Linked DNA regions of Oryzias latipes. The protein of the gene in region 2 purifies or fractionates together with the protein of the main gene of each other region. This does not show direct contact. Links are inferred from orthologs where the notes say so. Each region holds a gene or a part of one and is shown on either strand. Other genes may lie near its edges. The genes, in order: ccnb1, anapc4, anapc11, anapc2, ccna2, nek2 and anapc7.

Region 1 (4,194 bases), on a different chromosome or scaffold from region 2:
TTGTTTTTGGTCATGTTCAGAGGTGATAACTTAAAAATGATCAGAGCTGTATTAGTTTTTCGTTGCAGCAGAAAATGATTGAGCTGCATGAAAACATTTAAAAATGTGTTGACAGCATGCATTTTGTGTGAAAGGCTTCAGCACTAGAAGGTGTTTTCAAATTAAAAGGAGAAAAAGAAAATCAATTTCAAACCTGCTGATCCTCTTTGAGGTCACTGGATCCTTTGGTGAAGGCTGTACACACTCCAGATGGGTTACCAGTCCATTGCAGGGCCACACAGTCACAGACATTGTGAATCATCAATTAACCTAAATATGTTTGCACATGCCTGAGTGCCAGGATAAAACCCACACATGCTTGGGGTAAACTTGTAAACTTGACTCAGAAAAGACCCGGCTGGGATGTGAGCCAGGCCCTACTGAGGCAAAAGAACAAATCACTACACCACTGTTCTACTTTAGTAGCGAATACAGGACTAATGAGCTTTTTTGTAAAAAGAAAAAGATATATATATATGCATTCTTTTGCACGGAGGGATTCAAACATGTTTTAACATAAAAAATGACAATAAACTGAGAAAATCATTAAGTGTCAGAATAAAATCATTTTTAGGGCAACATTCAATTCTATTAGCAATAAGTGGTAGACTTTGAGTTTATTTGATTAAGTATAACTGAGCATAACAAGTATAGCCGGTATACACATGTAGTGTAGGGAATATACTAACTGAATACATCTATAGACTAAATTGGAACATTTTAAGTTTACTATATATACATTTATCTTCTTCCGTTTTGTACCTTTTGGGGTCACAGGGCTGCCGAAGCCTTTCCACATGTTACGGGCAAAGGCAGGGGACACCCTGGACAGGTCGCCAGCCCAGTCTGTCTAAGTTTAAAATATATAGATATAAAAAGTAAACTTCAAGTCCACTGCCTCACTTTTAGCCTACTTGAAGTGCATTTAAGGATACTAAATTTTGTTAACCCTTAACAGATTTTGTACTTTCTACTATACATACATCCAACCTATAGCAGCATGCTTGGTAAAATGATGCTCAAGTATACTTAAAAAATAAGCTTCAGTGTACTGTTTGTTTTTGTAAAGGATTGTTTTTGAGATCCTCTTGATTCTTCTTCTTTTTGTTTTGCGTTAAAAAAGTGTTTTCCTTGTTTAGATGCAAACAATAAAGTAGTGTATGTTTTTATCTACAAATGTTTTTATTTTAATAGCTCTAGAAGAACGGAGTTAGATATCCGGGTAAGGGAAGTGACCTAAGAAGAGCGTGATCACGTGACCCAAAGTTGTCTTGGGAGCGCATCTGACACGTACTCGTTTATCCAATCAGAATCGCCGCAGCCGCCCAGCGCAGCCAATCGGTTTGCAGCGAGCGAGGATTTAAACCACGACTCGTGCGTTGGAATCTTCACCTTCTCCGCTTCAATTTCGTGGTTGTTTGTGGAAGAGAAGCAGGCAAAGGCATGGCTCTGAGAGTTACCAGGGTAAGTCTGAACCACGTTACACGTTCCTCTCTGTTTTTACCGGAAAAGAACGATTTCAGGAAGCGCGTCTTTCTCTGGTTTTAAATGTTTTGACGTGTTTTCTGACTGGACTGTCATGTGGCTGTATGTGAGCGGAAGCTAGAGGTCAAATATTGTTGGCTTGAATTTATTGAACGTGCTGCTTCACCACTGCAGGTTTATCTCGAGCGCGCCTTGTTTTGTCCGTTTTCTCGCTGCAGAACCGACTGGCCTCCACCCGGGCCGAACTGGGCGGAAAGACGTGCTCGGTGGCCGGGCCTACACAGAAGCCCCGCGCGGCCCTCGGAGAAATCGGAAACGTCGCAGTTATTAACAAAGATGTCACGAAAAAGGTAAAATCTTTTTTTTTTTTTTTTAAAAATCCTATATAAATGTATTTTCCACTTATCGAAGTAAAGTGATTAACCTTTTTTTGGGGCAAGTTTGGTGTAGAAGTGAGGGGTTGGGCCTGTTCTGATGAGAAAATGTCTACTGTGCTGAACTGGGGCCCTTAGTCAAGTATAAAATGCATCCCAGGTTGGAGGAGCACAGTTAACCTGGAACTATGTCTAAGAATGTACACCATCAATTGTAAATTTAAATCTTTGCTAAAAAAACAACAACTTGAGTTTGAATGCACATTTGTTAAGAGAAACTCTTGTTACTGCTGTACTATCAGCTCAATGCGCAGAGCTTCAAAACCTGTACAGCTAGGACTTGTGGCTTTGGCCTGCAGCTGTAGAGATTTCCCAAACTGTGCAAGAAGCAAAGAACTCAAATGAAAAGATCCCAGCTCTGTAAAATGCATAGCAGTATTTGGGTTTGACCTTTCTTTCTTCAGACTATCAAGACGGAGGTTGCTAAGAAGACAAAGATCCCAGCTAAAGCTGAGAAGATCGAGCTACCAAAAGCTGCTGTGGTCCCTGTTAAACCAGCACCTGAAGTGCAGGTGACTGAGGTGAGTTGGTGTCATTGGTTGTCACACACCTGGTTGGGACATTTGTCCTGCGTGGTTGACCCATCCTCTGGGGGCAGCAGTGAGCTCCAGGCATGGTTGTGCTTCGGAGCCATATGGTGGGTTAACCACTCCCAATCCAACCCCTTACAGACCCACTCTGATTGTGGCCTCTTTCTTATAAAAGATTCATCTAAAGAAAATGAGATTGAAATTTCATTTCTGATTACTTTATTCAAATGTTGTGAATTGAGAAAAAAAATGCTGTTTGTTTGGATAAGGGCTTATTTGTGAGGTAGAAAATCCCACCGGCAGGTCACCAGCTCCCTTCTGATGTGTCCACTTGAATCAAGCAGGGAGGCTTTGGTTCCATCCGAAGTCTTTGCTGTGACTCCACTGGTTTTGAACCCTCTGCCTACCAGTCTTGGGGCAGACGCTCTACCACTAGGGTGACGTGTAATGATTTGACATGACCTTCTCACAGGTGCCAGCCCAGGCTGAACGTGCATCCCCCACCCCCATGGAGACCTCTGGATGTGAGTCTGCTGACCTCTGTCAAGCATTTTCAGATGTCATCCTCAACACGGCCATCAGGGACGTGGATGCAGATGACTACGACAACCCCATGCTCTGCAGTGAATATGTTAAGGACATCTACAAGTACCTCCGTCAGCTTGAGGTCGGACTAAAACCCGGAAAGCTGCATTCCTGATGTGTGCCGTTTCCCTAAAGAGACGTTTGTTCTCCTGTAGATGGAGCAGAGCGTAAAGCCAAACTACCTTGAGGGTCAGGAGATCACCGGAAACATGCGAGCCATCCTCATTGACTGGCTGGTACAAGTGGGCCTCAAGTTCCGTCTGCTGCAGGAGACCATGTACATGACTGTGGGAATAATCGACCGCTTTCTTCAGGTGAGTCTGTCAGTGTTCCTCTACAGACTAGATGTGCTCCATAATTCAATAAAAAAAAATAATTTCATAACAGATGTCCTCTAACTGACTTGTGTGCTGAGATTTTTCTTTTATTTTGTCTGCGGTCCTTTCAACAGGACCATCCAGTCCCCAAGAAGCAGCTGCAGCTGGTTGGCGTGACCGCCATGTTCCTGGCCTCCAAATACGAGGAGATGTACCCTCCGGAGATCTCAGACTTTGCCTACGTGACGGACAGGGCTTACACCACTGCTCAGATCAGAGACATGGAAATGACTATTCTGCGAGTGCTGAAGTTTCAGCTGGGCCGCCCCCTCCCGCTGCAGTTCCTCAGAAGGGCCTCCAAGATCTATGAGGTGTGGCGCGGTGTCGGTGCGGCAAACTGTTCTCTTCCACCACTGCATGTGCTGAGGTGAAGGTGGGATTTTATTTTTCTTCAGGTAACTGCTGAACAACACACCCTGGCCAAATACCTGCTGGAGCTCTCCATGGTTGACTACGACATGGCTCATTTCCCGCCCTCATTGGTGGCGAGTGCAGCTCTGGCGCTGACTCTCAAGGTCCTGGATGCAGGGGAATGGGTGAGTGACACTTGAAGGGTTTGCTCTCATCGCTGACTTGCCTGGGACAGCATTGGATATGAATGTCTTCCTTCCCAGGATGTGACACTGCAGCATTACATGGAGTACACAGCAGAGACCCTGACACCTGTTATGGCGCACATCGCTAAGAATGTCGTGAAAGTCAACAATGGGCAAACTAAACACATGGTAATCTTTTATTTTTTAA
Region 2 (3,480 bases):
GAGCATGAAAAACTTCAAAGCCTTTTTTCGCTGGCTGTATGTGGGTGAGAATGAACCTTTCCCTAATTTCATTTAAATCAACGATAAAAGAACAGCTGCATGTTCTGATGGATGTGACATGATTTCCCTGCAGCCATGCTGAGAATGTGTGACGAACACGTTCCACCAGAACTCAATAAGGTCGGTTTGAGCACAGATGTTTGGTTTTCACGTATTTCTGAAAACGTTTTACAACTTAAAGCTCTTAAATCCTCAGATGACTCAGAAGGACATAGCGTTTGTCGCTGACTTTTTGTCGGAGCATTTTAGTGAGGTAAGCGGTGAAAGAGCAGCTGCTCCGTTCAAACTTTGGGATTGTTTTGAAGAGTTTTATGGTTTTAATAGAACGAGGAGCTCTTTGATCGTAAAGGGAAATACTTCAACGTGGAGCGAGTTGGTCAGGTATGTGATGGACCAATCAGCTGGAAGTGATTGAATGACTTTGCTTGCTGATTGTTCCTTTGTGTGGACATTTACAGTATCTGAAGGATGAGGATGAAGACCTCATGTCTCCCCCCAACACCAAGGGGAACCAGTGGCTGAAGTTTTTAGAGGAGAGCTCGCACCTGAAAGGTCAGTCCTTTTTTCTGGAGTCCTTCAATTCTTTGTTGGGACACATTTTCTCCGTCGGTTCTGTAACCTTCTACCACTTTGATTGACTTTTGCAGAGAGCCCGTTGCTGTTTCCATCATATCCCCAGAAGTCTTTGCACTTTGTAAAGAGGATGATGGAGGGCGTGATCCAGCACTGCCTTCAGAAACCGGCTGTGGGTTTGAAGCGTCCCCGGTCTGCCTCTCATTCCTGTCCGTCATCTGAGATCATCCCGTCTGTTTCTCTTGCAGGAGGTCATTGGGAAATCTGTGAAGCAAGCTGCTTTTGTGCCCCTGTACACTGTGCCAGAGAGGTGACATTTGACTCTTTCTCAGAATGATGATTTCATGTGACATATCCCCACCATCATCGTTTCATTCTGTTTTGTAGCTCAGAAAACACACCCCGGCTCTTCGAACTCCCATCTTTGTAAGTGGGACACAGACATCGTAAGTTTTGTTTGCCTCAAATTGAGTCAGTGATGATCATTTGTCTTCTTGGTGTTTTCACAGATGGAACGATAAAAAGGCCAAAATGCATAATGTTGTGTTCTGCATGCCGGAGGTTTCACCCAGCAAGTTTTACCTGCTGCGCAAAGAAACCCACTCAAACAGGTGAACTGCTGGGAGCTACGTCTTTCTTGAGACATTTCAGTCTAATGAAGCTTCTTTTTTAAACCCTCCAGTCAAACTCCACTCAGTGTTGTGTCGTTTAACCTCACCCACCAACTTGAAGATCCAGAGGATGACAATGCTGCAGACCAGTGAGCCTTTCCTATGCCGTCCTCTTTACATTTGCCTTTAGAAGAGTTGCTCTAATAACTTTTCTTTTCCAGGCCAGGTTATGTCTACAGCTGTCTGGATGCTCGTTTCTATGACGATGACATTTTAACAGTGGTATTACAAGCATGTGAAGAGCAGAGCGGCTGGCGTGGTTTGGCTCAGCTTCCTCTTTCATCCAGTCTGAGCTGTGGGACCGACTTCAGCTGGCAGCCCGACATCAGGTGAGGGAGCCGTGTCCCCCTCATCATATGACCCCTCCCCTCAATAAACGTGTGTGGAGCCTGCTGGCCCCAACGTTCGTAGTTTTGATTGACAGATTTTGTGTAGCCTACTTTCAAGTAGTAGGGGTGTGGTCTTCCAACACTCCTGAATGGCCAGAGCAGTTGCTATAGAAACGATGACTCAGACTGACTTGGACCAATCGCTGCTTGCTGACATTGTCTGATTCCAACATGGCGGCGACTGGCTTGACTTCATTTGGTTGGAGCCAGGAGGAAGTGTTTTCTATGGGTGATGTCACAGCCACTCAGTCCAGTAGTTCAGGTCAAAATCCTCTTAACCTATTGGACAAACAGTGAAACAGTCTCAAGCATTTAATTTGGTTTGAAAGTTTCACGGCAGTAAAGCGTGTTTTGCTGCGTGTTCTGACAGACGGATCAGCTTCAGTAGACAGCATGAATCACTGAATAAAATGCTAACAAAAGTATAACTAAAAAGCAGTAAACCCACCGGGACTGGACTGACAGAATGGAACGTGTGTTGGGATGGAACGTGCTGAACTTTAACGTGTTTGTATGTTCAGGCTGGACCAGCAGAGCAGCACCATCCCATGCCAGACTCTGTTTCCAGGGACCCAGTGGCGTGAACTGGAAAACATGAAAGCTCAGTTTGTTGCCGTCAACGGAATCCGTAAAGTGGCGTGCGTGGTACGTCAAACCTCTGCTTCACTTCAGAGTTCACCTTTAGCCTGCTGCCTGTCCCGGTCCTGAGCAGCATGTGCTTTTTGGGTTTGATATGTTAACAAATCAGACATAGAATCCTCCACAATGGTGGTCATGTCAGAGCTTTTCTGATGGTACAAGAAAGAAATGGACAGTAGCTGAGTGTACTTCTGGGATTGATTTATGACTTCTGTTGCAGAGGAGTAAATTCAATCCCAATATTTCCTAACTGATTGAATGAATCAGGACCTACGGACAGTTTCAAGTCCTGTTTCTTTCTCTTCTTGGTAGCTGAGTTCCAACGTGAGGCACATTCGTGTTTTTGAGATGGATGTAGAGGATGAAGAGGACGAGGGGCTGGAATCTCTGAATGCAAGTGCTGACCAGGATGGGCTGGAACCGTCCGGGCCCAGGCGTGGGCCTGCAGAGGAGAACCCTGAGACTGACGGTGAATCCAAGGGGGGCCGCGGAGGTGCCCTTCAAAAAACCGAGGAGCATCTGGAGTCAGAAGAAGCTCTAAAAGTCCCATGACACCAAGAACAAGGTTCTTTGCATAAATGCTTAAAGTCCTGTGGTTTTTTGATTGTTTATTAATAAAAAAACAATCTGCTGTCAGCTATTTTGAAACTCACTGTTGAATCTTTTGTCCCCAATATTACGCCCCAAAATGGGTCAGCAGGGTTCCCTTTGAAGGTCAACGGCAAACCAGCTACAAAATTGCAGTTTTAAATAATTATTTGGGAACTGTAAGAGTGAAGTGGGAGTTGAACCAGACATTTATGTAATAATGTGAGGTGTGTTGGAGTTTCACAGTACCTGTTGGAGTTTTATTTAACCTTTATTTACCCAGGAATTGTCCCATGGATATTAAGAATCTCTTTTTCGAGGGAGTCCTGGCTAGGGGGGAAACAATAAATTACATTTACCATAAAAATGTCAACATTAAAAACATAAATAAAAATTAGAACTCATGTAAAACAGGTACAGTTAAAAGGGACTTTCTCCTCAAATCTCAGCTTGGATTTAAAAATATTCAGTGGAATGAGTTCTTTTAATTTCCATCTTTTCTGTAGAGCGTTCCATGTGGAGGGGGCAGAAAAGACAAAAGCCTTTTTCCCCAGTTCTGT
Region 3 (4,203 bases), on a different chromosome or scaffold from region 2:
ATAACTGATTGCTCTTGGAGACAAATAAGCTGTAAAATATGATTACATTTTTTGCCATCAAGAAAATCTAAACAGACTTCAATCTAATAGTTTTCTACATATGTTTAGGTTTTGTTTGTTTGTTTTGCAAATCCTTATTCCACAAGGTGTGTAAGACTGAAATCCAGGGATGGTCAATGGTTATTTATATTACATATAAATGACTCCTTAAAATAATTATAGAAAAAAAATCAAATAAAATAATTATAGAATAACAAAACCTCGAAAATTTAAATAATTCCAAATATTTAAATTTATTATTTTTATTATTGTCACAAATTACATTTGGGGGGGGGGGGGGGGTTCTATTTGTACCATGTCTAATTCATGTCTAAGCCCTCACATTTTGAAGAATGAGCTGTTTTTGCTTTTAAATGATACTCAATGCAAGTCTTCTGGTTTTTATGGTGTTGACATTTGGAACTTGATTCCGTAATAAATGTAATAATAATAAGAATAATAATTCTTATTATATTTATTATTATTAAAATAATAATTGTCAACACGGCCAAAAAGTTCTGGTTCTTTCCTAAATTGCAAATTCTCCTGGTGTTTTGTGGGTTTTTAATGAACTCTGGCTTCCTCAAATAGTCCATAAACAAGCCTCATGGACTAATTGGTGACTCTGAATTTAACTGGCAGACTATAATCTTTGCCTTTGTTCTGAAGAAGCTGGGAAAGACTTCAGAAACACCAGTGATTCTGCACATGTATACATTTTGATTTCTTAATTTCAATTTTTTCAAAATATTTGTTGTTTAAAAGCAAGGAGTGTGCGTATCTGTTTAAACGTTTATTTGCCACCTTGATGTTTCACTGTCAGTCTCGTCAGAATTGAATTGAAGCCATCATAGTTATTTTATGTGACTGTGTCTGGGTTGTGAAGCTGTGTTGTTAGATCTTATGTGTCTTTTCTATCTTATAGTTACTACAAATCGCTTTTCCCTTAAAAGTTAAAGTTATTTAGCGTTTATTAACAAAAGAGAATCAGACACATTTAAACAAATGGCTCAAAGGAACACAGCAAAAAATAATAATAAAAAATAAATAAATAATAGGAAAAACTAAATTACAAAGCATTACCATTTAAAACACAAACTAAAAAGGAGGGGAGCACAAAGGGCATCACCAATTATTCATATTGTATTTTCAAATAGGGTCCACGTTTTTAATGCATTTAAATTCTCATTTAAATTATCTAAATTTTAAATAGATTCGTTTTTCCCCCCATTGTTTATCCTATTTTATTTTATTTTTGCAAGAATTAGAAGAAGTGATCAGTTTCTTACCATTTGTCACCGATAGAGGGCGACATTTAAAATCCAACGCAGTTATAAACCAAATGTGATGACACCGGAAGAAGAAAGTTGCACCGCTGTTTGAAAGAACGGCAGCATATTTTTGCGTTGTTTTACACTGTTTTACATGGCTTAGTTCTAACGAACAGTACCTTTTAAAATATTGTCAAACACTTAAATTACACCCCAACTGTTGTTCCTTCGTTAAGCGAGCAGTGTTAAACAGAGCAGGTCGCTTCAGGCTCCGCCGGGTCGACATAGGCTAGCCTAGCTTGCGTGTCCCGTTTGCCGCTGAGCTCCGTGGGTTTCCCTGATCCGTCTCTCGCTGAGGATGAAGGTGAAGATCAAGCAGTGGAACGGAGTTGCGTCCTGGTTGTGGGTGGCCAACGATGAAAACTGCGGCATCTGCAGGATGCCCTTCAACGGCTGCTGTCCAGACTGTGAGTTAACGCGCCCGCGTGCAGATGTTTAATTCCTGTGAAGAAAGAAGTAGAAATCCCACCATCGGTTTAAAGAAATCTTTGTGATGTTTATGTTTCCTCGTAGCATAAAGGCAATTGAGCCGTAATGGCGTTTAAAACCGTATTTGATAGAAAACCTTGTAATTTCACATTTACTCTGTCTGTATTACCTAACAAACTACTTACGACTTAACAATTTTTTTTATATAACTTTATTGAACAAATGCAAGTATACAACATAAAGAACAATCAATGCAGTATACAACATACAATCAATATACAACACAAACAATGTTAAACAGCCAGGGGAGTCGATTCATTAAATATTTGCAGAGAGTTACAAATTTCAATAGTTCTGAGAGCTTTTTTGTTGGAGGAAAAGGATATTGATTTTATGTAAAAAGTTACATCTTTAATGAATTGTGGGAAGTATGGTGTTTTATTAGTAAATTTACATTTATGTATGTAGAATTTTGCCAGAAGAATTAATAAATTAATTATAAAAAATATCTTTTGTTTTTTGGGGGTCCTGAAAAAACAAAGTAATACATTTTCCCATTTCAAGGAGAAATCTTTGAAGACATGAATAATGATGAATCTACTGAACTCCTTCCAAAATCTCCGTGTGGACAAACAGTGCCAGAAAAGATGAATTACTGTTTCTGGGTGATCTCCACAGAAACTACAATCAGTATTAATATCTTTTTTAAATTTTATCATATAATGTTTGGCAGGGTAAATTTTATGGAGAATTTTAAAGGATACTTCTTTTACCTTATTTATTATTAAATACTTATGAGGGATCGTCCAGACTGCTTTCCAGTTGATATCTGGAACAAATTGATTCCAATAATTTAAAATATACGGGGGAGCGGTATAAATCTTTTGAAATAATCTGCGTATTTTTATATTAGTAGTACGCCCATATGAGAAGCATATTTTTCCTACCGGTGACTCATCCGCATTGGATATTGTATTTTGATTAGGTATCAAATTATCAGTGTTCTTAAATAACATTACTATTCCTGAGGGGATAGCCTTCTGCACCATTGAAAACTCTTGTAAAGTAATAGGTAAATTATACTGTGATAGGAATTCGTTATAGTTTAACAGCTGCCCCTCCTTATTAAATATTACGACTTAACTAATATTTGAGAATCAGAGATGTGACTACGCATGCGCGAACATTCTACTTAGTCTTGTGTTTGCCATTGTCACAAGTACAATGCAATGTAGCCGTTATGATACATAATTAAAGGGAAAATAACAGGACCACCTGCAGAAATGCTGTTTTCCTCTAGGTGGGTCGGTTAATAAATGAAGTTGATTAGTTAATTAAATTGCCTCTTCGCTACAGATGGGATGTATTTCATCCCAATCAAAGATGGATGGATGGATGTAATTAAAGTCCTGATTTTAACTAGATGACTGTGATTTGCTATTTTTGTGAATTATTGTCTCATCAATAAGAACTGGATTATGGCAACAATGCAAAAGAAATATATAAAAAGAAACAATTCATTAGGGGGGGGGATTGTATAAAATAAATGAGCTCACCTTTAGGCAGCAAATCAAATTGTGCATGACTTTAAATTATCATTATACTAAATGAATCAAATGTGATTTGTGTGTATTGTATGCATTACTGCGAAAAAGTCTCTTTGATTATGAATAATTAGACTAAAGCAGCCAGCATTGTCTTGTCATCACTGTTCATTTTATTCTTTATTTTCTAATCAATGTATTACTATATCTGAAATGGGTTTGATATATACATGTGTGTTGGTAGTTGTTTTTATTGTATTCAATCATTTAATCAATCAAATGTTCTCGTTTCATCCTGTTTAGGGACAGCAGATGTGAAATAGCATCATGGCTAAAATTGGACATAATTACATCTTTTAGTCTCTGGACATATGTTCAGTAATGTGTCCATATAAAATAAATACAATAAGATAAAATATATTTATCTTATTGTATTTATCTGCAGTAAATATCTGCAGACTTAAGAAAATCAGCTGTAAACATTCATTTATCAAAAGAGATTCCCATAAACAGATTCATGACACGTTTATTGTTGAGGATGAAGTCAGTCGGTCATGATGTGGAGATCAACACCATCACTTACAGGAGTTCGGATTCTTATTTATAAATTGGTGATGTAACATGCCCCATATAACTTTGACTTCGTGTCCATCAGCACACCCCAGCTCGAGTTAAGCCATGCTTCTCCTCATCTGCAGGTAAGGTTCCCGGAGACGACTGCCCGCTGGTGTGGGGTCAGTGCTCCCACTGCTTCCACATGCACTGCATCCTGAAGTGGCTGAACTCCCAGCAGGTGCAGCAGCAGTGTCCCATGTGTCGCCAGGAGTGGAAGTTCAAAGAGTGACGTGTCACGGTTCAGA
Region 4 (4,023 bases), on a different chromosome or scaffold from region 2:
GTTGTTTGTGTGACATCACATTAATGCTGATATTTTAAAACAAGTGAGACTTAGATTTTTATGCTCCGGGGGTTAACTACAGCCTCCTCTTTCAGGTTAAGTTAAAATAGAAGTATAGATTTTTTTCAACATTTACATTTAAAATATGAAATCCTAATGTCATATTGGAAATAGCTCAGTACAACGTTTAAGGAAGTAAATGCTGTTTGTCGGCAGATAATTTTTGTTTTTTCTTTAAACGAACAAAACAGTTTTGATGTTGGTGCAACAGCAAGGATATGTTAATTAAAGCAAACACAGTTAATAATAAGACAGATTATGTTTAACCACTAATCCGTCTGTCTATAGGGAAAACTTAGATAAGATGTTTGCAAACTTAATTAGAATTTTTTTTTAAACAGGGTAATTGGTTCCTGCTAAACCAAATTACCGGTAAAAAAATTACAGTTTATTTAGAAATTAATTGTTTATTTTAACATTTAAACTTATATTTTATTCAGTAAAGAAAATGCAGAGACATTTTCAAAAACGTGAAAATAAATAGTTTCCGTGAAAATACATAGTGGATGTAACTTGTCTTGCAGTTCACCAGTTTGTCCACAAGAGGGCGATAAGGATTTTGACTGTGATCACATTTTGTGTGTTTTTCCATTATAAATCATTGTTCTGTTGTATCTGTTTGCCCACTGAGGCAGATATCATGTCATAACCCATCCTCACACGTAAAAACATTTTTGATCGGGTAAAATTTGATTTTTTTAAGTTTTTCAACAAGATAATCATTTTTTCTGAGTTATTAATTTAATTGTATTTATTTCGTAAATACTTTAGTAAATGTTACAATTTTGATAAGATAAGATAAATATGCTTTTTTATTACAACCTGAGACATTTAATTTTGAATAAATTAATTTGATCGATGTTGATTATTTTACATAAAGATTAACTTAATTTGGTAAATAATTTTTCTCCAGCTCTTAGTTGCTGTTACAAACATTACGTGTTGCAGTTTTCCACTCTGTCCACACGAGGGCAGTAGTTGTTCACAAAAATGCAAAATGCAAAACAGACTTCTTTTAAATACTTTTGACTACTTTTTTTTACAACTTTTAAATTTTTTGCACGTACATCATGCAAACAACTAAAACAACGAAGAAAAAACAGAACGATGCGCATTAACAACTGTAGGTGGCAGCACTGCCATCTTTCAGCGCTAAATACAGTAGAAGAAGTCAAAGAAGATCTGAACCCGCCATTCAGTAGGAGGGGTCACGTGGTTTTGTTTTGTTAATAAATAGTATCTTTTTCTTTGTATATTACTGTGTTTTTGGAGAAATAATGTGTATTTGTACCTTCAACTAAACCTCTTAAAACCGGCACGCGCCTGTTTGGACTTCCGCCCGGTTTGTTAATTGAGGAGAAAAACCCATAAAATGGAGGAAATGATGGAAGACTCGGAGTCTGTGGAAATGTCTGGACCCGAACCGGTCCAGGGTGTCGCGGCTGCATGGGATTCGGTCTCTGCGGCTCTGGTGAGTGGACCCGAACCCCGAACCTCAGTGTCGGAGTCCAACCATGAGTGAGACGTCAGTTTATCGAGGTTATTCACGTCTCCAAATCTGGTGGTAGTTCACTTTGATGAATCTCACACATTTAAAACAATCTGTGGATCATTATCAGACTCATTAGACTGCATCTATATGCGTGATATTTTCATTTGTATATCAGTCACAGATGAAGCTTTGAAGGCGTTTTTAAATCTGCTCCTCCTTTCAAACACACCTGAGTTTAGAAAAAACTGGTTCAAAGTTCTTCATTGCTGTGTTTGAACTAAAAGTAAAAGCCAATCCGAGCCCAGGATCTGCTCTGGCATCAGCACGTACAGCAGCTTCTGGACGGATGCTGAGGCTCTGCGTTGGGTTCTCTTGCAGGTGTCTCCTGGCTTCTCGGTGTCGGATCAGAACCTCGTGGACGGCCTGGCTCTGCTCTGCCGTCGGGGTCTGGCTCCTCTTCTCGGGGTGTGGCTGCTGGAGACCTTGCAGATGCGTTTGTCGTCCTCCGTGGTTCCAGAGTTCTGGTGTGGACTGAAGCAGCCGGAGAACGAGCTGGAGGAGAGGGGCCGGGCCTGGGTTCTCCTCACCGCCTTCAGGACTCTGCTGGACCGCCTGGAACCCTTCCTGAGTAAGACCCAGACACCGGGGGGTCCACTGCTGTCGGACATTTCTGACACGTCTGCTCCTTAGGTGGTTTGGAGAAGCTGGGGGCGTGGCAGCAGGAGGGCCGCTGTGGTCTGAGCGGGCCGGGACCCAAAGGGCTCAAGGAGCAGGCCTTCACGACCATCAGAGCGCTCCTGCTCTTCTCGCCATCTCCTGTCCTGCAGGAGCGTGTGCTGGAGTTCTACAGCCGGACCTTCTCTGTTTACATGAAGCAGGAGGGGAACGCCGAGGATGGGGCAGAGGCTCCGGATGGTTCTGAGGGAGGGGCCTGTCCGGGCTGTGGGGTCCCGCTTCACCAGTGCTGGTGTCTGGAGGCCCTGGAGCAGCTGCAGCAGCTCAGCCACATCCTGTGAGAACCAGAGCGAAGCTCCTTGCAGCTCCTGTGGTCTGTCAGAGTCTGACCTGCTGTTTGTGGCTGCAGGTCCAAACTGCAGCTGCTGGACTGGGTCAGCTCAGAGGCCGTCACCTCCATCCTCCACAAGCTCATCGAGCAGCGGATGGAGCAGCACTGCCGCGGCGAGTACGAGCGCTCCTTCCTGCTGAACTTCCAGGAGGTGAGGCATCCGTTGTAGCAGCTCCCTGGTCGGCTCCGTCTGAACCTTTCCGCCTTGCAGTGGTTGGAGCTGGTGCTCGGCTGGCTGGGGAAAGTCTTTGCCTGTGAGGGGTCGGGAGACGGTCCGGCACCAGCATCTTTGGCCAGTCCGGTCATGAAGCAGTGGAGGTGCCACATGCACCAGTTCTTCTGCAGGATCTACGTCAACATGAGGATCGAGGAGCTCTTCAGCATCATCAGAGGTGACTCTCACCAACCCGACGGAGTTTTTTTTTTGTTTGTTTTTGTCTAACATCTTTGCTCCATATCTCGTGCAGATTTCCCAGAATCCAAAGCTGCGATTGAGGATCTCAAGTTTTGCCTGGAGAGAACTAACCAGCGACAGCAGCTCCTCACTTCCCTGAAATCTGCCTTCGAAAGCCGTTTGCTGCACCCGGGTAAGTAACCGAGTGGTTTGGTAACCGAGTGGTTTGGTAACCGAGTGGTTTGGTAACCGAGCAGCAGGTCTGTATGTAGCTAAGCAGGGAGTAGATGTCAGCGGCGGGCCGGTACCACAGAAGCCGGTCGTTATCAGCAGGTCGTCGGTACCCAAGATGCCGGTTTCTACCTGAGCGGCGGCTTAGCAGCAGTGAGGGGAAATAAAACCTGTAGCTCAGTGGGTGTAAAGTTCTGTCACGACTCTCCAGAACCTGTGGAGGACCGACTGTCCTGTTGGATCCTCCAAAGGTTTCCTGATTCTGTTGAATGCTTTTCTCTTAAAAATAATCCTCATCCTCAACTTGTGTGCAGGAGTTCACACCTCTGACATCCTCACCGTTTACATCTCAGCCATCAAAGCCCTCAGAGAGCTGGACCCGTCCATGGTCATCCTGCAGGTTGCCTGTCAGCCAATCAGAAAGTACCTCAGGTGAGTTTGCGTGTCTGCGGTCTGACAGGCGGTTTCAGGAAACCCGCTTCAGTTAGAAATGTGTTCATTGAACCGTCTAAACCGCAGCGCTGCCTCTTGCTGTTCAGGACTCGGGAGGACACGGTGCGGCAGATCGTGGCGGGTCTGACCGGAGATGCGGAGGGCTGCACCGACCTGGCCTCCGAGCTGTCCCGCGGAGACCCGGTGACGCTGGAGATGCAGGACAGCGACGACGAAGGCACCGACCCGGAGGACTGGACCCCGGACCCGACGGACGCCGTGCCCGGTCGGTGATGGCGTGGTGCGACGGTAGTCGCTCCGCTGCGGCCCTTCGGCTCACCTCTGACC
Region 5 (3,929 bases), on a different chromosome or scaffold from region 2:
CAGGAGCTTCAGGTTCATGAGGGAAACGCCAGTTTTCTCATACCAGAGTATCGAAGCATCTTGGATGAATCTGCCAGTCTTCTGGAGGAATACAAGAAGCAGCCAGCACATCTGGAGAGGCTTTATGGTACATTGCAGAAGCCACATTTATCTTAATTTCTGTTGGTCTCCTGACACTAATTTCTATTTCTTTATATTTGTTTTTCCTGCAGGAATGATCACTGACCTCTTCATTGATAAATTCAAGTTCAAAGGCCAGAATGTGAAAACAAAGGTGTCATCTCTGTTGGAGATTCTGGATAACTATGATCTAAACTCTCTGTTAGAATTTTTCAATGATGTTTGAGGTTGGATGAAATAAAATCCATTCACGTGTTCTGCTTCTATGTTGCATCTTTATGTAATGACAGTTATAGTTTGTGTCATGGTGCCATGCTGTTTTCAGAAGCTGTCGGTTTCACAATCCACAATTATTTCTGCTTAAATCCAGACTTTATAAATTCCTCCAGGTAGTTAATACAGACTCCTCTTTTTCATTTAATAACATATCACAGGTTCATAGACAGAAATCAAAGCTAAACGGACTGCATTTCTATATGAAAATCTCTGTGAGAAACTATTTAAAAATGAAATAGTCAAAAGATGTCATATGATTTTTTAAAGATCAGACCATATTAAACTATGTAGAAATGTTTTGTGGTGTTTTTCATTGCCTGTTCAATCCCCACAACACATGACTGAACACATCTTCAGTGACGTGCTTTGTTCTTCTTTATTTTTATTATAATGGCCATTAAACCCTTAAACAGAGAATCCAGTGTATTATATTTGGAGAACCTTTTCCTTTAAATGAATCCTTACTAACTGCAGGTCAAATAAGCTCATAAGCACTTGAAATCTGACAACACTTCAGAAAGTGTCGTTTTATTTTAGTTTTTGTAAATAAACACGCTCAGAAGAGTCTGCAGACGGTTAAAATCCACGGACGTCGTCCTGACTGCCGTCTGCTTGAGCAGGGACGTTTCCTTTCGTTTGCTGCTCTGTGCCGCTGCAGACAAACGGGTCCAACCGGTTTTGAATTTGCAATCAAGACATTTGTACCACTGCGGCTCCAGTAGTTTTGCAGCGTCACCATCTGTGCGCTTTGTGATTGGTTGGTTCAATCCTCGCGGGCTACTTGAACTGAGAGAAAGCAGAACCCTGTTCCTAAATGTCTGCTTGCTAGTGGTTCGTGTCCTGGTCGGTTGTGCTGTGGACCCGCGTGACTATGGAACCGTAGTGTGTTTGTGTCCCGCGCTTTGGAATCGCTCTACCGCTCACGCGCTCCTCTGCTGTGGCGCTGCTGTTCTGTTTTTTCGTTGCCATCTCAACTGTTTAGTTTTGAGTTTATTCGGCTCCACTTCAGGCTAGCACCCGACCCGATCCCCGCTACGAACGACGAGGGGTCCCGAAGAGTTCAAAGGTCAAAGCCAGCAGCGAGTGTTTGTTGCAGGAAACATGTCGGCGGCAAACCGAAGCGCGGCGAGTGAGCTCCAAAACCAGGAGAACATGCCGTCCAGCAGGCTGAGAGGCGCCATCAAAGCCCGGCCTGCAGCCAGCGAAAACCTTCCGCCCAAACAGGCTGCCAACAGAACCGTGCTGGGAGCTCTGCAGAACCACCAGCGGAACAAAACCCAAAGCCTCCGCGGCGCAAAGCAGGTAGCATGCCGCCGCACGGCCCGCTCCGCGGCGGGGCGCCAGCCGCCGGTTATCCGGCTGTGCTCCCGGTTCCTCACGGCTGTGGCTCGGTTCTAGCACCGTGATAACAGTCATTCGCCTTTAGCATCTGAACCTGTCTTAGATCTGCTTCTGGAGATGGTCTTTGTAGTTTCATGTTCAGTCTGTGCGCCATTTTAGCCTCACTCCTCCTAGTTTACCTTACAGACTGTTCTGTCTTCTGAAGCAGATCTGCTGCTGTTTGCCTTCAGAGCAGAAACTCACCTTTCTTGTGTTCTGTTGCCTCCAGGACTCTGCTCTACCCTCATCCTGTAAAGCTGACGATTATGGGAAAAGCGTCCTGGAAAAGCCGCCTGTCAAGCAGCCGGCCTTCCAGATCCACATGGATGAGCCTGATGGCGCCTGCACCAAGAAGACCGTGTCTGAGGCCCTCAGAGCCAGGGCCCCGGCCCCTCGCTCTCCTGTGGCCGTCCACAACGCCCTGACATGCCGACAGCCCCTGGCTGCCCTCGATGTCCCGTTGGTTGTGGAAGCCGGCTTTGGTGGGCTGCTGTAGAATCTTGGCTTGTTTAGTAATGACCGATGTTGGCTTTGGTGTCAAAGTGAGGTGTCATCATCTGTGCACTAAATGACTTTCAGATTCTCCCATGGACATGTCGTTGGTGGAGGTGGACGACAAACAAGTTAATGTCAACGAAGTCCCAGAATATGCAGCTGAAATTCATTTGTACCTGAGGGAGATGGAGGTGAGAGACTCTCCTTTTCCTTTCTTCCCCTCCTGTCATCTCTGCTACAACAATCGGGTATTTGTTTCAGGTGAAAACCAGACCGAAGGCCGGCTACATGAAGAAGCAGCCTGACATCACAAACAGCATGAGGGCCATCCTGGTGGACTGGTTGGTGGAGGTTGGAGAAGAGTACAAGCTCCACAATGAAACGCTGTATCTGGCCGTTAACTACATTGATCGCTTCCTCTCGTCGATGTCCGTCCTGAGGGGCAAACTCCAGCTTGTTGGGACTGCTGCCATGCTGCTGGCTGCGTATGTGCCAATTATCCTGCCCAGGAAAACACGACTAGTTTGGTTCGGAAAGGTTGAATGACTTTGTATGTGCAGGAAATTCGAAGAGATTTACCCTCCTGAGGTGGCAGAGTTCGTCTACATCACAGATGACACGTACACCAAGAAGCAGGTGTTGAGGATGGAGCATCTGGTGCTCAAAGTCCTGTCATTTGATCTGGCAGCACCAACGATAAACCAGTTTCTTACTCAGTACTTCTGCCACCACGGCGTCAACAAACAGGTGGAAAGCTTGGCAATGGTGAGTGTTCATGTGGTCCGTCGTGTTGGTCTACAGAAGCATATGGATGTGCTCTGACGGTGCTTGATCTGTCCTCAGTACCTCGGGGAGTTGAGTTTGATAGATTCAGACCCCTTCTTGAAGTACCTGCCATCGCAGACGGCGGCTGCAGCCTACATCCTCGCCAACCATGCAGTGACCGGCGGCTCTTGGGTGAGACTATTTCCCTCCAACTTAAGTTAGGAATGTGAAGGGTTATACGCTTGAATGTTTTGGTTTGAGATGCTTTATGGGGACGTGGGGCTGTTTGTCACATGCCAGGCTGAGGCTCATGGTGGTTGTGGAAATGTAAAATTGGTTCACTGACATTTTCTCTGCTCTGCTCCAGCCCAAATCCTTGGCAGAGATGACGGGCTACATGCTAGTAGACCTGATGCCGTGCATCGAAGACCTTCACAAGATGTTCCTGAGCGCCGCTCAGCACGCCCAGCAGTCTGTCCGCGAGAAGTACAAGGCCTCCAGGTGAGCTGCCGTACTTTGATTTTGTGTACTTCTATTTAAGGATCGTTGGAAAATATTTGTATTACTCTAAAAAAGTATCAGAGGAATCTGACAATTTCTGAGAGCTCAACTAGCAGTAAAAACTTCCCAACCACATTTTTTTTTTTTTACAATAAGTAACCTTAAATTCAATTAAATGATGGCTAAAAATGTGTCTTTAGTTGTACCGCGAGATTAGAGGTGTTAAGATGATCGGATAATTCTGAAAAGTTGCATGGAAACAAAAGGCGGCTCCAGACTCCAGCATCTTCACTGTTGATGGTAAACTCCTTGGCCTGTTACTCACTTCAGTGACACTGCAGGGAGGAACATGGTTTCAGAAATGTGTAGCATTTGTCCTCTAAGCTGAGAAT
Region 6 (4,138 bases), on a different chromosome or scaffold from region 2:
AATTAGTGGGAAAAAACACAATTTTTGTATGAAATTCAACAAAAATAGAAAAAGTAGCAATAACCATAGAGCTATCTTTTCCTGCTCCTGCTTCTGGACCCAGAAAAAGGAGTCTTAAGTCACAACGACTGTTGCGACACCAATTTGTGCCTCAGGTGAGGGGGTTATTGTCGCTCGGGCTCTGCTCGTTCCCTCTAATGGGGGGCAGTTGACATCACAGTGGCCTGAGCCACCTGTACGTCTTGTCTTCAGCTGCCAGTTTTCCAATGGTGTCTCTCCTTCCTCTCTCTTCCACCTCACAACTGTCCCTGGCTGATGTCCAGCTTTTTGAAACAGTGACCTTTGGCGGAGGGATTTTTGGCAGACCGGTCCAACACTCTCTCAAGAGCAGACAGAGTTGTGGGGATAATCTGACTTGTTATGCTGGCTGCCCCACTGAGAGGCTAGACCACTGTCCCAGACGCTGCATCCATCTCCAGTACGGATCACACGTTCACAAAAACCAGCTGTCGTGGTTAGGATTTGCTCCAGTCACGCTTCAATTTCACGGGCTGGAAATTACCAACATGCTACTTCCCACCTGTCAATCTGTCACAGCACCAGAAAAGGGATGAAAAGGTGCACAATGCTAGAGATGATCCAAAGCCGTTTGAATGTTTTCGCTCTGTGTTTCAGTCTGAAAAATACAATGTGACGCCAGCATTTTTTTCCTTAAACCGTCGTGCCAGAAGGCATCCTGCTGCAGTGAAGCAATGAAGTGAATTCAGAGCCATGGCAGATGTAGGAGCACTGTGAGAGGTCACTGTCTTTCACTGCCCTGCAGGTCAAATCAAGGGACCGATGACTGTAGGATCTGCTTCCCATCCATCTTAGAATGCATGCTTAGAAAATGCTGTTGGATGAGCCAGTGACCTTTAAGTACATTTACAAGCTACCGACAGGGTTAAATTTATTAAATTCAATCGAAGGATTGTTCTCATGTGACTAGTTATTTTAAATGCAAAAGAAAAAAGTGCACTTGGCTTTATTTGAAAAATCAATTTATATGTGGATAATACGAAAAAAGTGTTTTGTAGCAATATTGTTTCCCAAATTGTTCCCCACGTTCCCCAAATAAACGTTTTATTTGTATCTAGTATGTTCAATTATATGTCAACAAATCCGTAAATCTACTGCTTGTTTTTGGTGCCCTCTAGTGGACAGGGAATAAACATGCTTCTTCCCGCTCTAATCTCGCGGGTTTTCAGCTCTTAGCAACGTGAACAAATGCGTCCTTGTTTGACCAATCAGAGACCGTCGTGCCCGTGGGAACGAGCCAATTAGAGGTAAGAATTCTGGCACCGATTTAAACGGAGAAGCAGCACTTCCTGTGTTTTCAACTGATGCCAAAGAACACGAGTGTTTTGAGGAGATCGGCTTTGGACTTCTTTATTATCTGGATGAGCAAAAAACATAATTTAAGTAACTACTTGAATTAGATGTTCAACTTTTCTAAGGCCTATCTTTACATTTGACGCTAACGTGAAGTTTGGAAACTTTTAACGTTGGTTTCGGTTGACGAAGGCAAGATGCCGTCCTGTGTTGATGACTACGAAGTGCTGTACACGATAGGCTCGGGCTCCTATGGAAGATGCCAGAAAATAAAACGAAAGAGTGACGGGAAAGTGAGTATTTATGGCACAAGACACGCATACAGTATTTTCTTAAATAAAGATACATAAATACACGGTGTGAATGTTATCTAATTGATAAGTCATGAAAAAAAAAACAATGACTTGCTTCTCTGTAAATCAATAACGACACAAATGTACTTTAATATTTGGGAAATTACAGTTTTTCTGACATTAATTTCACAAGAAAAAATCTTTAAACATAATTCAGTATCAAGGAAATGTAGCATTTAAATGTTTTTTGTCATTTATCAGTAAAACATAATATTTTTTACTCAAACACTTGAACTTTAAGTTTGAAAAAAGGACTAAGATGAACATGTTCTTGATGGTTAAAGCATCTCTGCTCTCTAGATTCTTGTGTGGAAGGAGCTCGATTATGGCACCATGGCTGAGTGTGAGAAACAGATGCTGGTCTCAGAGGTCAACCTCTTGAGGGAACTCAAGCACCCAAACATTGTGAGGTACTACGACCGCATTATAGACCGCCGTAATACCATGCTGTACATCATCATGGAGTACTGTGAAGGTGGCGATCTGTCTTGTCTCATCAGCAAGTGTATCAAAGAGAGGTAAATAGAGCAAATGGGAAGAAAGAAAAAGCAGTCATCCTCTTTCTATCTGCATCATCATGTGTTGTTTTTAAATGGCAGGAAGTACTTGGAGGAGCAGTTTATCCTGCGAGTCATGGTGCAGCTTTCTCTGGCACTAAAGGAGTGTCACCGGCGGCGCGACGGCAGAGCCACCGTCCTTCATCGGGATCTAAAACCAGCCAACATCTTCCTCGATGCAAACCAGAACGTAAAACTCGGCGACTTCGGTTTAGCTCGGATTCTGAACCACGACACCAGCTTTGCAAAGACATTTGTTGGCACACCATACTACATGTCTCCAGTAAGTTATTTAACATTTTTGGCTTTTTTTAAATTATTTTTTCTCTAAAAAAAATCTCTAAAGGACATTTACAAGGTAAAAAAAATATTGTACTTGTTATTGATTAGTTTTTTACACTTTCTATTCATTCAGGAACAAATAAATAGGATGTCATACAATGAAAAGTCAGATATTTGGTCATTGGGATGTTTGCTGTATGAACTCTGCGCATTATCGTAAGTTTTTTTTTTTAAGCTTTTCCATCCGCTCCCTCGGCTGTTTGATCTAATGAATTCATGTTTGGATTTTTTCCTCTTTGAGGCCTCCATTCACTGCTTACAACCAGAAGGAGTTAGCAGAGAAGATCAGGGAAGGAAAGTTTAGAAGAATTCCTTTCCGTTATTCCGAGGAACTGAACTCTCTTATCAGCAGAATGCTCAACTTGAAGGTCTGAAATAAAGGATTGATTGTTTTCATCCTGCAATAGACGATCTGCTGAGCACCAGTCTGCTTTTTGACAGGATTACCTGAGGCCGTCTGTGGAGTCTATTCTTCAGAGCAGTCTGCTGAGTGTCGTGGTCGAGGATGAGCAGAGAAAGTCAGAAGTTCGACCCCGAAGGAAGTCGGCAGACTCCAGCAGCCCCCCGCAGAGGCTGAGTGAAGCGCCCCACGTCTCAGCGGTGGAGCTCAGGCGGAGGGAACAGGCTCTGCGGGACAGGGAGAAAGCACTGAAGGAGCGCGAGGAGAGGCTGGAGAGTAAGGCTTTAAGTTATTTCTGAGGCTAAATCAAGGGGAGAATATAGTTCTTTGGTTATTCTGAGTGCAGCGGCCTCCATTCAATGAGAAACCAGTCCTTTGGATTTGACTTATCAGAGTCTGAGATACTTTTCTGAAATTGTGAAACAACATTTGAGGCCTTGAACTGTTCCGCTGCCAAATTGCACAAGAACTAGAAAACATTTCTCTGTTCCCACGCATGGGTTCATCCCAAAGAAAGGGGTTTGGGGTGTCTTGCTCTCTTAATAATTATAAGCAGCCCTTTTCGAAGCAATCTTTGATTAATACATTTATTCACAAATGCTTCAATCTGGTAGATTTTATATTTGCTGTACTTGTTTCTGATGTTCCTTATAAAACGCTTGAGGAGTCGGAACGTGATTATCCATCCTCTCAACCAAAGTGTTGCCATCACATCTGTCCACACACAAAAGTTTGAAATGCAAGGTGTTTTTTTCTAAACTTTGTTTTCAACAATAATCTCTCTTTTTGTACAAATAAATTGTGTTTTCTGTTGTCAGGAAGGGAGCAACAGCTGTGTGTTCGTGAACAGCTCACAAACGAAAGGCTTGCAAGGTAGTCTCTCTTTTTGTCTGTTGCATAATGTAACAACTGCTGGTTTTTGAATTATCGTGTAAAATCCTTGAGTCAATTCTTACTTTTTATGTTCTGTTTTAGAGCAGAGAGTTTACTGAGAAATTACAAGCTGCAGCAGCAGAAGGACCTGATCTTTCTCGAAGACATAGGTAGGGGAATCCAACAAAGACCTCTGGACTTACTGAACTTAGATACAGCTGGGCTATGAATTTATGAATGAA
Region 7 (4,073 bases), on a different chromosome or scaffold from region 2:
GTGGGCTTCGTTCGATACTTAAAAAATGCCAACGGGTACCGCTATCATCCTACCAGAGAAAGTGATTAGATATTATCTTACATAACTAAATAATGAGTTTCACATTTTCAATTACGTTTACTAAGAAAATATATGTTTGTGTGTTGCCCAACGTATTACGGTATTCATGTGTATCATTGGTAAAGCTAAACTCAAAAGGGCTGTGAGCCCCTGAATTCATTATTCCTTTGTTCTGCCCGCTAAATAACGCCGAAGTTGCTAGCTTGCTAGGACGGTCGGCGTTGCTGGTCTGCGTGGGTTTTAGTTTATCTTTTATTCCAACGTGACGTTGAAATCATAATTTTGCCACACAAATGGGCATCTAACTCAAGTAGATTGCTCACGTCCTGATAATTTCGGTCATTAAAGCGCCTGTTAACCAGAATCTTACAGCGTAAACATAGCTTCACAAAAGCTAGCATTAGCCTATTGCTGCTACATAACTAGCTGTTTTCTCCCTGTAATTTTAATATCAAAGAATGCGATCACATTACCTGCCAATTGTTTTCGAAGAAGTAATGCTGATTGTTCGGTCATGGTACGCGTACGTAACTAAGAAAAAAACTGTCTGTATAGACAAATATCTTCTGGCACACAGAGAGGAGGTCCTGCGATGCTGCTGCTGCTGCCGCCGCTTGGCTCCGTGTTTTGACACAAGATTCAGGTGCTAGCTTAAGTGCGCATGCGTGCTTCAAGCTGACCACGCGTTCGTGTTGTTAAAATATCTTTCTGCCAATGAATTAGACTTACAAAAGGACTGCATTAAAAATACACAGAATACCTCGTTGTTTGAAATGTTTTCAATTTAGAAATTTTATGTTGGGGCTTTTTGGATATTTGAATTCCGTATGTTTGTTGACATCTACATGTTTGAAGAACTCGTTCGGCACACGAACATAATAATACATGGTTGAAAAAAATAAACAATTATAAAGTAAGCCTTTAATTTTCAATTATTCACGCGAAAGTCGATTTTTGAGCTAAATACAAACATACAGTGAAAAGCAGAAGATGCGTTCATAACCATCGGAAATATCAAATTCACATTGAAGACTGTTACAAAGAACAAAAACAAAGTAACAAATGTTTAAATTTACGTTCATCATGATGAATGTGTAAACTAAAACGATTTAAATAAAAATACTAAGATTGTATGAGGGTGAATTGATTGCGCTCTTAACCTGTCATTCGTGAATCGTCTGCTAAAACTAATTTGTACAGACCTACAAATGCAGCAGTGCACGGAAGGAAGGCTGCTGAGCGCCATATTTAATACATCAGAGGCTAGATATTTTTTAGCTAAAAGTTCTAACTTCACACCGAAACCTGTAGAAGAGCCTGCATTTTTTCGGTAAAATGAATGTTATTGATCACGTTCGGGACATGGCTTCGGCCGGCCTTCACTCCAATGTTCGCATTGTGAGCAGTTTGCTGCTGACGATGAGCAATAACAATCCGTAAGTATGGCTTGACTGGGACCCGTCTATTTCCCGAATGAGTCTCTACGCAAGTGTTTTGTGGTTTTCCTCCGTTGTCGCGACAGTTTTATATATATGAAAAAAACATATTGTCGTAGTCTTTACGCTATTGTTTGAATGCGCAGCCTACACAGCTTCTTTCTACATGCTTAGCTTGTGTTATGAGATGCATACAGTTAGCCTTCACTCCATTACATAGCCATGTGGAGACTTTGGCAATAACAGTTTGGTGAAGTGTCATTGAGGGATGTTTGAACTCAAATCCCCCCACTTTGTTCACATGTATTGATGTTTTCTTTATTTACATTAATCAAATGTTTTCATTTTCCGGAGTTGATTAGATGTTACTATTTGTTCTTTCGCCACATTTATATTCAAGAAGATGTACCAGGGGGGTATTCCAGAAAGCAGGTTATGCTAGTTACCACGGCAAGTTTAAGGCTAATGAAGCGGATTATCTCAGTTTTCGGTACCAACAGTGGAGGTCTGTTTCACAGTATGTCAAGTTGCCATAGCAACTCATGCTCTGAACATAACCCGGTCTGGAACAGGTTTAGTTGAAGGTTAGTTTGTTTTCAGAGAGGTGAAGGCAGCATGGTGTGTCCATTTGAAGATGATTTAGTGGATGAAAAAGCTCAGATAATACTTTTTCCACCATAGAGGGTGATAAGACCACATATGGATGTTGGAAAGATAACATTTGTTACATTGATCTAACTTAATTATTTGCTTTAGTTGAGATAAATCTTTTTTGTTTTTTGTTAAGTCAGTTACGTGTCATGTTGCAAATCTGTTTTGATTCATGCATTTTATTGTTGTAAAAATGAGCATATCTGCAGGCTCAAACTTAAACACATGAGAGTTCAAGAAGTACAATAAATTAAGATGAAAAAACATTTAATTGAATTGGAGTGATATGACATTTAGTTAGATAAATATGTAAATTTGAGTTAAAAAAAATATTGAGTTGGATAGACGTAAAAAATATATTTAACTCAATTTCTTGTTACCAATTGAATTAATTCATTTAAGTTGGATAAGTTTTATAAATATATATATATATATATATATATATATATATATATATATATATATATATATATATATATATATATATATATACACATCACAATGGAAATGAGATAGAAACTCTTGTGTTTACTTTGTCCGTTCTTTTTCTCCAAGCAGAAACTCTCTTTTGCTGATGCAGCCGTGTTACTTTTTTAATCTTCATACGCCGTCATTCAAATCTCCGACTCCGTCTCACTGACGTATAGCGCTCTCTTTTTTTCACCACGCGTTTCCATGGTGACTCCGTAGATCGGCAATCCATTGAAAATGTCTTTATGTACTTGCTGTGCACGTGCATTAACCCAGGGTTACCAAGTGGAGCGTAATTACGCTAACTCATATCCGGTTTTTTGGAACCGACATACCCAGAGTAAGCAAGTTCAGGCGGATTTCAGCCAGAGTTCAGGCTTAAAGTCAGGGTAGTTTAAACATGCTTCTGGAATACCCCCCAGAACTCCCCGTAATCAAAATGTAATTTTTTATACAGCTGCTGTTTTCGTAACGTTGCACACTTTAAATGCGAAGCTAGTGCCATAAAATAGAGGTATTGTGCTTTGTAGTTATTTTTAAATGAAACTTGTTCGTTTTTGTCTCCAGTGAACTATTCTCACCGGCTCAGAAGTACCAACTGCTGGTTTACCACGCCGATGCGATTTTTCACGATAAGGAATATCGCAATGCGGCCTGCAAGTACAGCATGGCGCTGCAGCAGAAGAAGGTGCTCAGCAAAACATCCAAGGTTCGCACATCAGCTGGTGGAGCAGCCTCCAACATGCAGACACAGGTGAGGGCTTTATGCTTCAACACATTTAGGAAAAAAAAATATGGATGGATGGATGGATAGATGGATAGATGGATAGATGGATAGATAGATAGATAGATAGATAGATAGATAGATAGATAGATCTCAGAAGTTAATGGTTGCATCCCTACAATATATGCAAGAAAATAATAACACTGAAGACCATGAAAGTGTCTGCTGGCCTGCTGCTTTTGATCTATGACCAATACTGATCCTAGAGTGGGGAAACTACCTTTTAATCACTTGCATAGACACATTTTTGGCAGCAGACGTCTTTATCTCAAGTGACTCTTGAAGGGCACCTCTTGGTTTGTTTTTCCTCATCTTCAGGTAATATTCAAAACAGTTTTTACATTTTTTTGTGGCATTTTCTTCTTGATGGAGGACATATGTAAAGAAAAATTAACCTTAAAAAAGCATTTCTGAGTACTTCTTTATTCAAATCTTGGTGAATCAGGAGCAGATTTAAAGAATGCCGTTTGAAAAAGATTGTATTTGTTACGGCCACAAGCTCCGTGCTCCGCTCCAATCTGATACATCCACTTGCAGACAAATAGATCCGTGTACTTCTTTGTTTTCCCCCTCCAAGCTGGCATCTGAATCAAAACTATTAAGATGGTTGGATAGTTCCAATATTGCTAGCTATTTTTGTTGCACTAATATGTTTAGGTTGGGGCTGAAAG

What was found.
Region 1: the proteins of anapc4 (region 2) and ccnb1 purify together in Homo sapiens (affinity purification with western blotting; 3 studies listed by BioGRID). This does not show direct contact. The link is inferred for Oryzias latipes from reciprocal best matches to the Homo sapiens genes ANAPC4 and CCNB1.
Region 3: the proteins of anapc4 (region 2) and anapc11 purify together in Homo sapiens (affinity purification with mass spectrometry; 8 studies listed by BioGRID and IntAct, with this or other methods). This does not show direct contact. The link is inferred for Oryzias latipes from reciprocal best matches to the Homo sapiens genes ANAPC4 and ANAPC11.
Region 4: the proteins of anapc4 (region 2) and anapc2 purify together in Homo sapiens (affinity purification with western blotting; 12 studies listed by BioGRID and IntAct, with this or other methods). This does not show direct contact. The link is inferred for Oryzias latipes from reciprocal best matches to the Homo sapiens genes ANAPC4 and ANAPC2.
Region 5: the proteins of anapc4 (region 2) and ccna2 purify together in Homo sapiens (affinity purification with western blotting; 3 studies listed by BioGRID). This does not show direct contact. The link is inferred for Oryzias latipes from reciprocal best matches to the Homo sapiens genes ANAPC4 and CCNA2.
Region 6: the proteins of anapc4 (region 2) and nek2 purify together in Homo sapiens (affinity purification with mass spectrometry; 6 studies listed by BioGRID and IntAct, with this or other methods). This does not show direct contact. The link is inferred for Oryzias latipes from reciprocal best matches to the Homo sapiens genes ANAPC4 and NEK2.
Region 7: the proteins of anapc4 (region 2) and anapc7 purify together in Homo sapiens (affinity purification with western blotting; 14 studies listed by BioGRID and IntAct, with this or other methods). This does not show direct contact. The link is inferred for Oryzias latipes from reciprocal best matches to the Homo sapiens genes ANAPC4 and ANAPC7.

What each region holds. Positions count from the first base shown.
Region 1 is NC_019870.2:25,679,338-25,683,531, forward strand, and holds the start of ccnb1 (G2/mitotic-specific cyclin-B1), read left to right. Parts: upstream 1-1,394; 5' UTR 1,395-1,482; coding exon 1,483-1,503; intron 1,504-1,742; coding exon 1,743-1,874; intron 1,875-2,362; coding exon 2,363-2,479; intron 2,480-2,960; coding exon 2,961-3,155; intron 3,156-3,228; coding exon 3,229-3,387; intron 3,388-3,524; coding exon 3,525-3,761; coding exon of another isoform or gene 3,762-3,821; exon of another isoform or gene 3,822-3,845; coding exon 3,846-3,986; intron 3,987-4,064; coding exon 4,065-4,175; intron 4,176-4,194. UniProt on the Homo sapiens protein: Essential for the control of the cell cycle at the G2/M (mitosis) transition.
Region 2 is NC_019862.2:1,190,204-1,193,683, forward strand, and holds the end of anapc4 (anaphase-promoting complex subunit 4), read left to right. Parts: coding exon 1-44; intron 45-133; coding exon 134-180; intron 181-256; coding exon 257-313; intron 314-384; coding exon 385-441; intron 442-518; coding exon 519-612; intron 613-707; coding exon 708-805; intron 806-881; coding exon 882-943; intron 944-1,020; coding exon 1,021-1,059; intron 1,060-1,142; coding exon 1,143-1,244; intron 1,245-1,315; coding exon 1,316-1,393; intron 1,394-1,465; coding exon 1,466-1,633; intron 1,634-2,214; coding exon 2,215-2,338; intron 2,339-2,644; coding exon 2,645-2,884; 3' UTR 2,885-2,980; downstream 2,981-3,480. UniProt on the Homo sapiens protein: Component of the anaphase promoting complex/cyclosome (APC/C), a cell cycle-regulated E3 ubiquitin ligase that controls progression through mitosis and the G1 phase of the cell cycle.
Region 3 is NC_019859.2:4,486,005-4,490,207, forward strand, and holds the start of anapc11 (anaphase-promoting complex subunit 11), read left to right. Parts: upstream 1-1,403; 5' UTR 1,404-1,668; coding exon 1,669-1,777; intron 1,778-4,041; coding exon 4,042-4,187; 3' UTR 4,188-4,203. UniProt on the Homo sapiens protein: Together with the cullin protein ANAPC2, constitutes the catalytic component of the anaphase promoting complex/cyclosome (APC/C), a cell cycle-regulated E3 ubiquitin ligase that controls progression through mitosis and the G1 phase of the cell cycle.
Region 4 is NC_019866.2:2,382,402-2,386,424, reverse strand, and holds the start of anapc2 (anaphase-promoting complex subunit 2), read left to right. Parts: upstream 1-1,223; 5' UTR 1,224-1,432; coding exon 1,433-1,531; intron 1,532-1,930; coding exon 1,931-2,180; intron 2,181-2,242; coding exon 2,243-2,564; intron 2,565-2,636; coding exon 2,637-2,769; intron 2,770-2,829; coding exon 2,830-3,010; intron 3,011-3,085; coding exon 3,086-3,205; intron 3,206-3,557; coding exon 3,558-3,675; intron 3,676-3,782; coding exon 3,783-3,961; intron 3,962-4,023. UniProt on the Homo sapiens protein: Together with the RING-H2 protein ANAPC11, constitutes the catalytic component of the anaphase promoting complex/cyclosome (APC/C), a cell cycle-regulated E3 ubiquitin ligase that controls progression through mitosis and the G1 phase of the cell cycle.
Region 5 is NC_019868.2:207,888-211,816, forward strand, and holds the start of ccna2 (cyclin-A2), read left to right. Parts: upstream 1-1,129; 5' UTR 1,130-1,497; coding exon 1,498-1,698; intron 1,699-2,005; coding exon 2,006-2,258; intron 2,259-2,355; coding exon 2,356-2,462; intron 2,463-2,532; coding exon 2,533-2,756; intron 2,757-2,831; coding exon 2,832-3,036; intron 3,037-3,114; coding exon 3,115-3,228; intron 3,229-3,403; coding exon 3,404-3,537; intron 3,538-3,929. Other genes in the region: bbs7 (Bardet-Biedl syndrome 7 protein), read left to right, coding at 4-127, 213-346. UniProt on the Homo sapiens protein: Cyclin which controls both the G1/S and the G2/M transition phases of the cell cycle. Functions through the formation of specific serine/threonine protein kinase holoenzyme complexes with the cyclin-dependent protein kinases CDK1 or CDK2.
Region 6 is NC_019882.2:6,331,936-6,336,073, forward strand, and holds the start of nek2 (serine/threonine-protein kinase Nek2), read left to right. Parts: upstream 1-1,338; 5' UTR 1,339-1,568; coding exon 1,569-1,664; intron 1,665-2,024; coding exon 2,025-2,242; intron 2,243-2,323; coding exon 2,324-2,564; intron 2,565-2,696; coding exon 2,697-2,779; intron 2,780-2,864; coding exon 2,865-2,991; intron 2,992-3,064; coding exon 3,065-3,299; intron 3,300-3,841; coding exon 3,842-3,896; intron 3,897-3,998; coding exon 3,999-4,066; intron 4,067-4,138. UniProt on the Homo sapiens protein: Protein kinase which is involved in the control of centrosome separation and bipolar spindle formation in mitotic cells and chromatin condensation in meiotic cells.
Region 7 is NC_019867.2:25,467,751-25,471,823, reverse strand, and holds the start of anapc7 (anaphase-promoting complex subunit 7), read left to right. Parts: upstream 1-1,273; 5' UTR 1,274-1,395; coding exon 1,396-1,496; intron 1,497-3,185; coding exon 3,186-3,372; intron 3,373-4,073. Other genes in the region: ubiquitin-conjugating enzyme E2 G1, read right to left, coding at 534-576. UniProt on the Homo sapiens protein: Component of the anaphase promoting complex/cyclosome (APC/C), a cell cycle-regulated E3 ubiquitin ligase that controls progression through mitosis and the G1 phase of the cell cycle.